Linked DNA regions of Alligator mississippiensis. The protein of the gene in region 2 purifies or fractionates together with the protein of the main gene of each other region. This does not show direct contact. Links are inferred from orthologs where the notes say so. Each region holds a gene or a part of one and is shown on either strand. Other genes may lie near its edges.

Region 1 (3,745 bases), on a different chromosome or scaffold from region 2:
TCTTAAATCCAAAAAGCTTGAGGAATACTGCGCTAGGGTTTTCACTTATTTTGATCAACTGAAAAAGTGCTACAACACCAGAAATAGATTAAGCATGTTTGCCATGTGTAATTTTAGCTTTTCTTCCTTCCTAAATAGAGACCCCAATTGTAGAAAAAAGCATACATGCAGGGCTGAACCAAGCTGAAAAGTTATCTAGACAATCAGCCCAAGTGGCAAGGTCTGGTTAGTTCCTCATATATCACCGCTAAACGCATGGAGCTACACCAAGAAAGCCCTAAAGAAGCCCTAGCATTATGCTCCCATTTCTCCATCCACTACAGGTGCCTCTGGTAGCTTGTCCACTGACAGCTGTATTTTCAATGTTTGAAGCATCAAAGAGGGAAAACCGAAGTCCTGAGTCCAGTTAAACCTTTACAATAGCTCCCTAGATCTGTATGCTGAGCTGAGAAACTAAACCTGTAAGGGGAGGCAGTATAATAAGCGGTGTCTGAAACTGGTAACATCATCCTTTTTAGAACTGAAAAGAATTAACAGAAAGACTGTTCAGTTACAATGTTGTAAATTTCACTACCTACCATGCATGGTAGATTTATAATTGAGATGTATGTGTCCATTCCTCATTTTCAGGTTTAATTTTAGGAAGGGAGAAAAAAAAAATCGACACACACCTCTTTCCCTGAAGCAAAGTCAATGACTACGAATTGGACTGATCCCACTTAAAAAAAAAAAACACCCACAGAAGATATGGCCAAGCAGAAGACCAAAAAAGGGTTAAATACACAAAAATACAATACTTAAAAAAACCCCCAAAAATAAACCCAACAACTGAAAACTATTTCTGACTTCCTTATAGGAGTCAAGCCTGTAGGGTTGGCCCTATATAAAAGTGTGATTTTTATGGTTATTTTAGAAGAAAAACAAGTAGACAATCAAAATAATATAGTCCCTTCTCTTGTTTCTGTGCCAAGGCATTTTCTTGCCGTACACACACACACACATCGCATCACTACTGCTTACTCGAGTCTAAATCTTTCTCCAACATGTCAACATTGAAGATTAGATTGGACAATTAAAAAAAAAAACAAAAAAACCCCCATGTAATTAGATAATGACATTATTTTAAATGAAATAGCCACTAGCATTTACAGTTTTCAACATGAAAAGTTTGCTGTTAACATGAGAAACTTCATGCAAGTGTTCCTCACGTAAAGCGGAGCAGAAGTTAGAAAGCAACTCTTATCATCCAGCACCCAGACAGGATCTCCAGTGCCCCCCATTTTCTCCCCTTCTCTGATGAAAACAGGGCTGGAAGGTGTGAAGTGGTAGATGGGCAAAGGATGAAGGGAAAGGTGAGCAATTATAACAACAAGCATCTTACTAGAAGGACAAGGGTCTGAACTCAATACACAGTAAAGCAGAGGCAGTGCCCAAGTACCCCTTTCATAAAGTTGTTTGTTTCCTTTTTGTTTCTTAAACCACTGTGGGGCTAGGCAGCTTCTTCTTGTTGGCTACATTAAGGAAGTGACCCGACTCTGAACTCCAGGCCGAGCAACAGCCCTGCTGGTGAATTATTGATCAGCCGTGGGAACCGGGTCCCCACAGGTCTCCTCCCCCTTGGGGGCTTTCCAGACCCAGAAGCCGAGCTATTGTTGAACAGGCCTGGACAGCACCCCTCCTCCGCCCCCTCCTGCTGCTGCTGCGGCTGCCAAAGGCCTTTCAGCTCCTCGAAAGCAGCCGCTGGGCCCCGGCCGGCCCATCCCGAGTCCTTGCAGCCGGTGCCCCGTAACTTTCCGCCGCCCCCGAGCCCGCGAGGCGACAGCCGCCAGGCGCCCTCCCGGGGGTGAAGCTGGGCTCTCCTCCTCCCCCAGCCGCAAGGAACAATACCGCCCCCACCACCACCACCACCCGCAAGGCCCCGCTCCTCGTCCCGCGCGCAGCCATTTGCCGCTCTCCCCGGCCCCGCAGCCGCCACCCCTCCCCCAATGCGGGCGCCGCGGCCTCCACCGTGGACGGGGGTAAACGGGGGAAGAACGAGAGGCGGCCCCACACTCACCACCCACGTCAGTCCCCCGCTGCCTCCGCCTCCGCCGCCGGACTTGGCCATTTTCCGCCCGTCGCCTCAGCCCCGAGCGTGGCTGCAAAGGCCGAAGCCAGACGCCGCCGCCGCGGCCCCTCCCCCCGCGCTCGCCCTCACAGCGGCGCGCGCGCAATGGCCGCCGCGCGCCCGCCTTCCCTCCCTCCCTAGCACACGCACGGCCCGGCCCGGCCCGCGGCTCCTAGCGCATGCTGCGGGCGCGGCGCGGGCAGCGTGAGGGGCCGGACAGCCCGGGCCGGGCGCGGGGCCGCACAAAGCAGCAGCAGCGCCGCCGCCGCCACCTCCCTTCGCGCGAGGCCTCCCGGGCCCGCCCCGCCCCGCCCCCGCCAGGCGCCGGCTCGCCAACCCCCTGCGCCCGAGCGGCCCCGCGCCGCGCTCAGACAATAAGTGCGCGGCTCCCGTCCGGCATCGCCGGCGGCCCCCCCTCCCGCCGGCCGCCCAATGGCGACCGAGAGCAGAGCGTTACCAGCCAATCGGGCTGGGTGGAAAGTGAAAGGGCCGAGGGAGGCCCGGTGACGTTACTGTGGGTGGCAACAGGGAAGAAGACGCGGCCCGAGCGGGGACGCTGCGGGTAGGTGGGAGGGTCTGTGGTGCTGAAGGGGCAGCAGCTGTGTCTGTAGCGGTCGTGGCGGGGAGAGGGGGGCAGAGACGGAGCAGGGGAGATGTGACCGGTCTTAAGGAGCCCACAGAGCGTGGCCGCTGCTTGGGGCCGAGGAGAGGTCACCTGCGCAGCGCCGAGCAGGCTGGATGCCCCCCAGGCACTGGTGGGGTTTTCCACTGGCTGCCTTGGGGGTGTAGTTGGGAGGGCTTCTTCAAGCAGGAGCCCCTGCGGGGAGATTGCCTGGCCTGGTGGAGCCCAGAAGACCTCAGCAATGCTCCCGTTGTTGATGCTGTCCACCCTGGGGCCCTCAGGTTCCTAATATTTGCATGGATAGAGAGTCATTCCGTATCCTCCTGAGGTGGGGAGAGGACAGGCTGTACAGGCAGGCCTCAACTTAAGATGTTTCGAGTTGCAACGAACGGCACTTAAAATGTTTATAAATTGAACCCCGTTTCAACTTTCTGACGTCAATTTCGACTTTACGACACTTGATCCAACAGGATGCCACTCGAGCGAACAAGTTCACTTTGTCGCCCATCTCCCTGGAGAACATCTGTCCAAACTTCCTTGGACACTTTCTTTAAGAAAGCAGACAAGACTCCAGAAAAACCTGCATCCAAGACTCCTGAGAAGACTCCAGCCAAGAACCCTTCAAAAAATCCAACCAAGAGCCCTTCAAAAAGTTCAGCAAAGTCACCTCAAAATAAGTCCTTCCAAATCAATGCGATTGCTATTTATAATATACATACATTAATGTAGCTATATTACTCATCTATAATTGATTGAGTACAAGAATCTGGGCCATTTCTGGTGAAAATAGGGCATCGGGCCTTGGTTCAGGAACCAATCCCCTATTTATAACATTGTATCTATGGGAAAATTGGTTCTGAGTTAGGTTTCAACTTAAGACCCGGTTTTCAGGAACCAATTGTGTTGTAAGTCCGAGGACTCCCTGTATTAGATTAACAGTGAGCATGTCTACACGTGCATTAATGCATTTTAGTTAATGTGCATTTAATACAGTGCCTCCAGGCATTTATACACGT
Region 2 (3,745 bases):
AATCAGCTCTGCACTCTGTGAGTGGGAACCAAAATACTCTGCGTCTTGCTGTGACTTGGGTCAGTTCTTAATTATAAAGTGTGCAGATTAGCAAGGTTTTGCTAAAAGTGCAAACAGCAAACTGCATAGATGCTTCCTTATCTATAGCCTGGGCACAAAATGATACAATATTTTTACCTTGCGGAACAGGCAACATTCCCAAGCACATTATAACCTTATCTCTTCCCCCTCCACTCCTTGTTTTCAGAAACAGAAAAACAGCCTCTCTGTTAGTGTTCTATTAGAGTCCTCTAAATCACAATAATCCTCTAATAAGAAACTTAACTGTACACTTTACACTGGATTAATTTCAGAAGGCTGTCATGCCCTTGTCTACAGATAGCACTTGAGTCCAAGGAAAAGGCATGGAAGGACAAGAAGATTGGAAAAAAGTGTTCCTGACAAGCAAAGATGAACCTAACTTCCCTACAGCGTAATATTCTAATTTAATCATGGTAGTTATTATAGCAGCTTTGTCACATGTATTCCTCTCAGCTGTATGGTCTGGGGAAAAACAAACACACACAATTTCCAGGACTAAAACATATACCTTGGCTGCTTTAGCCTCTTCTGCTTACAATTTTGCACTGGTAATAACAACAGCGGGTGCAGTATGGCAGACAAGGTATCAGCTGCCACTAATGTTTTAAAGGACCAAAAGGTTTCCTTGAGGAGATCAGAAGTCCAGTCCCTATACCAGTGCCATCACTCCCTTCCCTCGCACTGGTGATAAGAAAGGTGGGAAATGTTGAAGGGAGAGGGGGAAATCAGACCAGAAGCTTTAGGTCAACATTTATTTTTCCAATGTGTTTCTTATTCTTTCACCCTAGTGAGCAGCCATATTACACTGCACTGTGGGCAGACTATATTTAGAGACAGATGTATTTACTAATTGCAGGCAGGTCCTGTGGCAAAAGCGTGCTCAGAGATCTCTCTCTTTGATTAAGCTAGGTAAACTTTTCATCAGCCACAAGGCAATGAACAAGGGGTGAAAATGAACTGCTAGGATGGCGATTCATTCTTCAATTAAGAGAGATCAAAGGAAGGAAGAGAACATTCAAATTGCTGCTAAAAATAAATTCCCCCACAAAAGGTCACAAGAAAGAATTAAGTCAGTGACAAATATGCTCCAAAAAGTGTATTAAATCACTGGGGAAAACTAAGGAATACAAGTAAGAAGCCTGTACAGCTCTTCAGCAATAGGGATTCAGCTCACACTTCAACTAAAAACAGTTTCAGTCTCTAGCTTCCCCCCATCTGTTTCCACCCAAAAGTCCCCAAGATGCAAACCGAGGTAAACAGAACATAAGAAACCCCAGAAACATTTACATCTTCTGGTCAGGGAGTTAGCACACCAGGCTGCAGCCCCTTCACCACCTCAAGATCCTCTTGCTGATGCCCTGGCTGCATTTCTCCCCGCTCCCCTTCCATGGCCCCACCAAGATGGCCATACACCTGACCAGGAGGGAGGCTCCGGCTGGGAAAGCACCCAGTGAATGTGGGGCCATCCTCCTGTCCCTCCTCCTCTGCAGTCCTGTCTCCAGGCAGAGTTTCACTGGGCAGAGCCCACTGGCTCCTTGGACTCATTTGAGGGCCAGTGAGTGCCATCCAACATGCTCTGCTCAGTGCCCTCCTTGGAGCATTTCGTGCAATCTCTAACCCTGGTGCCTGCCCCTGCTTCAGCTCCCCAAGAAATCAGCTGGTGCACACTTAACAACCCCTAACTGCATGGGGGAAGGGACTAACCCTTCCTGCTTGGGCCCACGCCTTCAATGGACTCAGGCATCAAAGAGGCCTGTCACAGGGTCACAGCTCTGGGCAGAGTTGCACCAGGCAGTGCCCACTGGCTGCCTGGACTCATTTAGGGCAGCACACTCTGCTCAGTGCCCCCTTTGGAGCACCTGCTATCGAGCTCCCATCCCACTTTTCAGGGCTGGGGCACGCACTTAGTGACCCCCTCTCCTGCCAGGGGCAGTGTCCCTGCATGCTCTGCCAGTGTGCCCATGCTCCCCCACCCGAGCCACGGGATTTCCTCCGAAGACTGCGACCAGCAGGGGGCGCTGCTGCGTCTCCGTCAATGGGAGTCCCAGCTGCTGGCCCCCCGGCGGTGACGTCAGAGCCGAGCCGAGCGCGGGAAGCCCAGCGAGGCGGGGGCGGGGCACTGCGGATTCCTGCCCCCCCCCCAGCTGCGCTTGCGGATGGCGCGGGGGGTGGGGAGTATTACCCACGTTGCAGCGTCGCTCCCCCCGCGTTTCCCCTGCAGCGGAGGAAGGCGCTGCCGCCCTCCACCCACGTGCCCCCCCCCCGGCGAGGATGGAAGGGGCCCGGCACAAAGCGCTGCAGCAACGCGGCGCTGTACCTGCACCATGATAGCCAGGCGCAGCGAGTCCTTGGCGATGCTCTCCCCGCATTTCTTGCACGAGGCCCGCCCGCTCTTGGCGTACTCGGCCCGATACAGCTTGTCCGCCGGCTCCGCCATCGCGCCTGGCCCGGCCCCGGCAGCGCCCACCGCTGAGCGCCGAGCCTGCGCCGCGCTCGGCGATCGATTGAGGCTGCCTTTTTTCCTTTTTTTGGAATGTTCCGGCGGGCCGCAGCGTTCGATTGGAGGGGGCGGGGGGGGAGGAGCCGCGCGCTGAGCGGGGGGCGTGGCGTGCGCCGCCTATACCGCCCCCATAGGGTCCTGGAGGAGGGCGGGGCAGTCTGCAGCCTGAGGGATGGGGCCCGTTACTTTGTGATAGTAGTCCGGATTGGTGCAGGGAGAGGAGCTGGGGCTGGACAGGAGGGAAAGCTTTCCGAGCAGGAGGGTGCTGAAGGCCGGAGAGCCTGAGGAGTGGTTTAAGACCCTTGGAAGGGTTTAAGACCCGGGTAGACAAACCCTTGCCTGGGATGATCTAGTTGAGGCTGGGCCTGGTCTGAGCTGGGTCTTGGACTCCATGCCTTCCCGAGCTCCCTTCCAAGCCTTATTTTCTACCACTCTGTGATGGTCCAGGACATATGTAAGAGGCAGGGTGACAGCTGTTCTGTGGTAGGGTGGCCATCATAGAGGACAGTTTGGTTGTCCTCTTTTGATATGAAACCAGATGCCTTTATGTCCTTTATTTTTCTCTTGAAAAATGGCTGGGGTAGAGAAGCTCTTCAGGCTTCTCTTGAATAGAAAAATAGAGGCATCCCGTTTTGTATCAATAGAGGACAGAGTAGCAGAAAACCGGAACGTCCTCTATGATGGCCACCCTATTTGTGGGTGATGGCTTTCTCTGTGGCTGAAAACGGAGGAGGTTTGCACCCTTGGGCTGCGGCCATATGAGCGGGAATGTGCATTTCCCCCAGGACAAGTAGCAGTGGTGTACCTTGTGTTGCTGCTGCTTGTCCCTGGGGAAAGCCTGTGCCACATGTGCTCTGGTGTGCAGCAGGTGACCCCAGATTGGGGAAAGGGGGCTGGGGCCAGCAACTGTGCTGGCCTCAGCAGCCTTACCTGCGGGCCTGGGGAGCTGCAGCCGCAGTGCTCCTGCAGCTGGGAACCCATCTGGCAGCTGGAGTGTGGCTCTGGCCGAGCAGTTTCTGGTTTTGGGTAGCCTCCACTACTGTCACATGTGCCACCCCACTTTTTTTTGGCATGGGTTTTTTGACCCCAGGAAGTAGCAGCATGGGAAGGCCTGCGTATGGATATGGCTTTGTAGATTAACCCTAGCCAAGGTGCATAGTCAGC
Region 3 (3,745 bases), on a different chromosome or scaffold from region 2:
AACTTTGGGCAACATTAACTGGTAACATGCACAAGTTAGCCAAAGATCCTATCTTGAATGCTGTCAGCTGATACCATAGCATCAGTTTGGGGGCTTTTGCAGGGATACTTCATTCTAGATAATGCCTCCAGCTTGGTGTCAAGATATAAGCAAATATATGTCTTATTACAGCCCATGGAACAACTTTGGAAATAACACGAAGCCCAGCTTTCTCCAGTTTGCTGGAGGGCCTCTTGACAGTACAGGTGCTTAAGAGTTCATGATTTATTTATTTTTTAAATTGAAGTGGCAGGAATACTTAATCGTAGGCATTATTTCTCCCAAATATTCAATAGTGTTAAATTAACTTTAATAAAATAGTTCTGAAGTCTGGCTAGACAGCCTTGTCAATTGACAATGGTTACAAGACCTGAATTTCTTGTAAAGCAAGAAAGAAGGCAGGGCAGAGCAGCATCTTTCAGACTAGCTCATTCAGAAAGGCATATGCTTCTTTAGGGAACAGATCTAATGAAGGAGGCCATTAACTATGGAAGCTTATGTTTTCTGAATGAGTTAGTCTGAGGTATTGCCTAGCTGTGCCTTCTGCATGACTTCAGACTAACACAGCTACCTCCATCTAGTAAAGCAAGGAGAAACAAGGCTGCACTTACTTTGTACACCAGCATAAAGAGAGGCTAGGGGGAAAGAAGTCTCTCTCTGCATATATCATTTTTTTAAAAAGATTCTCTGTTGCTCTGCTTTGAGTGTTTATTTCTAGTCTCTTCTAGCATTTTCCCTTTGTACTAACGTACAAGGTAAGGTGCTCCAAATGAGAAGGAGATCTTGAAAACAATTTCACCACGCAGATGTTTGTAACCATTGCTCCACTGACTTCAACTGAACTCTGCGTAGGTATAGTGAAAAATCAGGACCTCACAAGTCACTGGAAAAGCAATACATACTTAGTGAGCTATTGAAAACCAAGTGTATCAATGATCAGGAAGGGGGGGGGGGGGGCGCTGAACAGTCTCTACAGCTTATTTACAGAGGCTGGTAACCACAGCATGTGAAGTAAAACATTGTTTGTTTTTTTAAATGCACTATAGGTACAAAGAGTTAAAAACAGACATAAGAACCTATCCTTGCCAGTGAGAAACATGATGCCCAATAATCAGCAGTATTCATTATGTTAAGCATGAAGAAAGATGAACCACAGGGTAAAATCTTAAAAAGGTGACCAAGGCTAGTCAAAGTACTGAACACACACAAGTGTACAAGCAAAGTGAAAAATTAGGAGTGTTACAGGAAACTACCAGGAAAGCCTCCTGTGACTATGACTGGCTCATTTATGAGCACTTTAGAAGATGTTTGGGTTTCACATGGAGCATCTCCTACAGTAAGTGAAAGCCAAACAACAAGTGGCATGAAAATAAAGAGAAAAACCAAGGAATCTGCACCAAATCCTATGCTTAGCTGGTATTCAATTTGGCTCTCACAAAATAAAAATAAGAGTCAGAGACCCGATGGGAGAGTGCATGTCAGAACGCCTACAGAAGCAGCCAAATGAAAGCAACCATATAACTTGATCTTTAAATGACTGAAGTGCCAGGTAAACTGTGGAAGACCCTTATTTGCAGGGGGGGGGGGGGGGGGAAATCTGGCCCGTGAGGACACCACCTGCTCCTGCAGGAGCAGACAGCATCGAGTGAAGTCACAAGCGAGAGGCAAAGCCCTGGTCTTGGCCGCACGCACAGGGCTACGCTCCCTGCCGAGGTGACAGCGCATGGACAGCGGAGCCGGGGCGAGGGGGGCCGGCGGGGCCCGCGGCGGGGTGGGGGTGCCGGGCGTGGCGCGGGGCTCGGCCGGGCGGGATCGGGCGCCCCCACGTCCCCGCGCCCGTGCTGCATGGCGCTGCTCAGCCTGCCTTGCAGAGGGAGCTCGAGTCCCGCGCTGCGCCTCGCAGCGCCTCTCACTCCGCAGCGCACACAGCGCAGCGAGGCGGCGGCGGCCGGCAGGAGCGGGACACGCAGCCGCCGACCCGCGGGCAGACGGCGCGGCCGGAGGCGGCCGGCGGCGCAGCCGCCGCCTGGCCGAGCCGCGCGGGCGGACGAGGCGGCGCCGAGGCAGGTTCGGAGGAGCGCGGCGGGCGCGGGGCAGGGGCCGGGGCCGCGCCGCGAGCCGGCGTGTCGTGCGGGGCCCAGCCGGGGAGGGAGGCCTGGGCCCAGTGCGCCGGGCGGGGGCGGAGGCCGGGGCCGGGCCGGGCCGGGCCCGCGGGAGCGGAGCGGAGCCGCGCGGCGGCCGAGGGCGATCGGCCGCGGCGGGAACAAAGGAAGGAAGATGGAGGCCGCAGAGCCCTTGGCCGGCCCGCGCGGCCCTGGCCGGCCCGCGGAGGCGGCGGGGCCCAGCGCCGCGCTGTGGGGAATGGCGGCGGTAGCAGGCAGGCAGGCGCCGGCCGCGCGGGGACGATAGAGGGAGACAAAGCCCCCTGCTTCCCCGGCGGCGGCCGCTGCGGGGCCCCAGCCAGCCCGGAGCCCCATCGTGACACCTAGAGGCCGGAGAAAGCGACTGCAAACCCCCCGCGCCGCTTACCTGCGCCCGGCCCTGCCAGGCCCGCTCCCGCCGCCGGGCCCCGTCGCCGCCGCGCGCCGCCCCGGGCCCCGCGGAGCCGCCGCGCCCTGCACGCCCCGCCGCGGCCGCCGCTAGCGCCCAGCCCCAGCTCGCGGTTTAATCGCTCCACAGTCGCTTCGGACACAAAATGGCGGCCGGCGGCGGCAGTGCGCGTGCGCGAGCGCGGCTGCCGCGGCCGCCGGAGCCGATCGAGCCGGGGGGAGCTGGGTGGGGGCGCGCGGGGCATTCTGGGAAGCGGCCCCGCGCGCCAACTTCAAACGGGACCTGGCCCCGGCGTTACCCGGCCCGACGTAGCGCGTGCGCGCCACGTCACGGCCAAGCGGGGCGGCCTCGGCCCAGGGCGCTGGGGCCGCGCCGGGTCTCGCGCTCTGCCGAGCGGCCGGGGGTGGGGGAGACGCGGCGTCGCAGGAGCGGGGTCGGCGGAGACAGGAAATCACCGGCGCCGCCTTCCGGTGCTGCGCCCATTTATCGCGGGGGCTCCCGGCCTGTGGGCGCGCCAAGCAGCCGTCTTCTCAGGTCCTGCCGGCACGTGCTCCGGCGAGGGACGCGCGGCTCCTGCCAGCCTGTGCCCGGGGCGGGGCGGGGGGCGCGCGCGCAGCCGCCCTGCGCAGAGGCGCTGGGGCCCCGGCCTGGCCGATCCCGGCCCTTCCGTAGGGAGATGGCGCGGTGGGGCCGGGTGCTGCTCCCTTCGCAGCAGTTACAGCAGGTGCCTCGAGTCCAGTAGGCCAGTGTTTCGCAACTTTTTATGTAACAAGTACCCACTAACTTCTGAAAATTTTAAGTACCCCAACACTCAATTTTCCAGGCAATTTTATATTTACTGACTAATGTGTGCTATATGTTGGAAGAAAGGCTGTGTATATAAGGCTGTGATACGACAGATGTCTGATCTGGTGTGGCTGGGGTTGCCACCTTTTACACCAGGGGTGCGCAACTCAAGTATATACATGGGCTAGAGGTGACGTTGCCCAAAGCTACGAGGGCTGGACCCAGTGCCGCATGCCCAGTTATTACTGGGGAATTTAAAGTACCATGCAGTGTGTGGCGCACCAAATTTTTTGCCATAGTTTTGAGAGGAAAAGAAGGTGAGAGAGACAAAGTGTTAGGGTACTTGCATACCCTCTGCCTGTGTCTCGTA

Evidence for each region. The genes of interacting proteins can lie anywhere in the genome.
Region 1: the proteins of PARP1 (region 2) and TOP2B purify together in Homo sapiens (affinity purification with western blotting; 3 studies listed by BioGRID and IntAct, with this or other methods). This does not show direct contact. The link is inferred for Alligator mississippiensis from reciprocal best matches to the Homo sapiens genes PARP1 and TOP2B.
Region 3: the proteins of PARP1 (region 2) and CTCF purify together in Homo sapiens (affinity purification with mass spectrometry; 6 studies listed by BioGRID and IntAct, with this or other methods). This does not show direct contact. The link is inferred for Alligator mississippiensis from reciprocal best matches to the Homo sapiens genes PARP1 and CTCF.

Annotation. Positions count from the first base shown.
Region 1 is NC_081828.1:146,786,208-146,789,952, reverse strand, and holds the start of TOP2B (DNA topoisomerase 2-beta), read right to left. Parts: upstream 2,376-3,745; 5' UTR 2,108-2,375; coding exon 2,057-2,107; intron 1-2,056. UniProt on the Homo sapiens protein: Key decatenating enzyme that alters DNA topology by binding to two double-stranded DNA molecules, generating a double-stranded break in one of the strands, passing the intact strand through the broken strand, and religating the broken strand.
Region 2 is NC_081824.1:179,591,552-179,595,296, reverse strand, and holds the start of PARP1 (poly [ADP-ribose] polymerase 1), read right to left. Parts: upstream 2,573-3,745; 5' UTR 2,519-2,572; coding exon 2,399-2,518; intron 1-2,398. UniProt on the Homo sapiens protein: Poly-ADP-ribosyltransferase that mediates poly-ADP-ribosylation of proteins and plays a key role in DNA repair.
Region 3 is NC_081833.1:35,453,107-35,456,851, reverse strand, and holds the start of CTCF (transcriptional repressor CTCF), read right to left. Parts: upstream 2,704-3,745; 5' UTR 2,569-2,703; intron 1-2,568.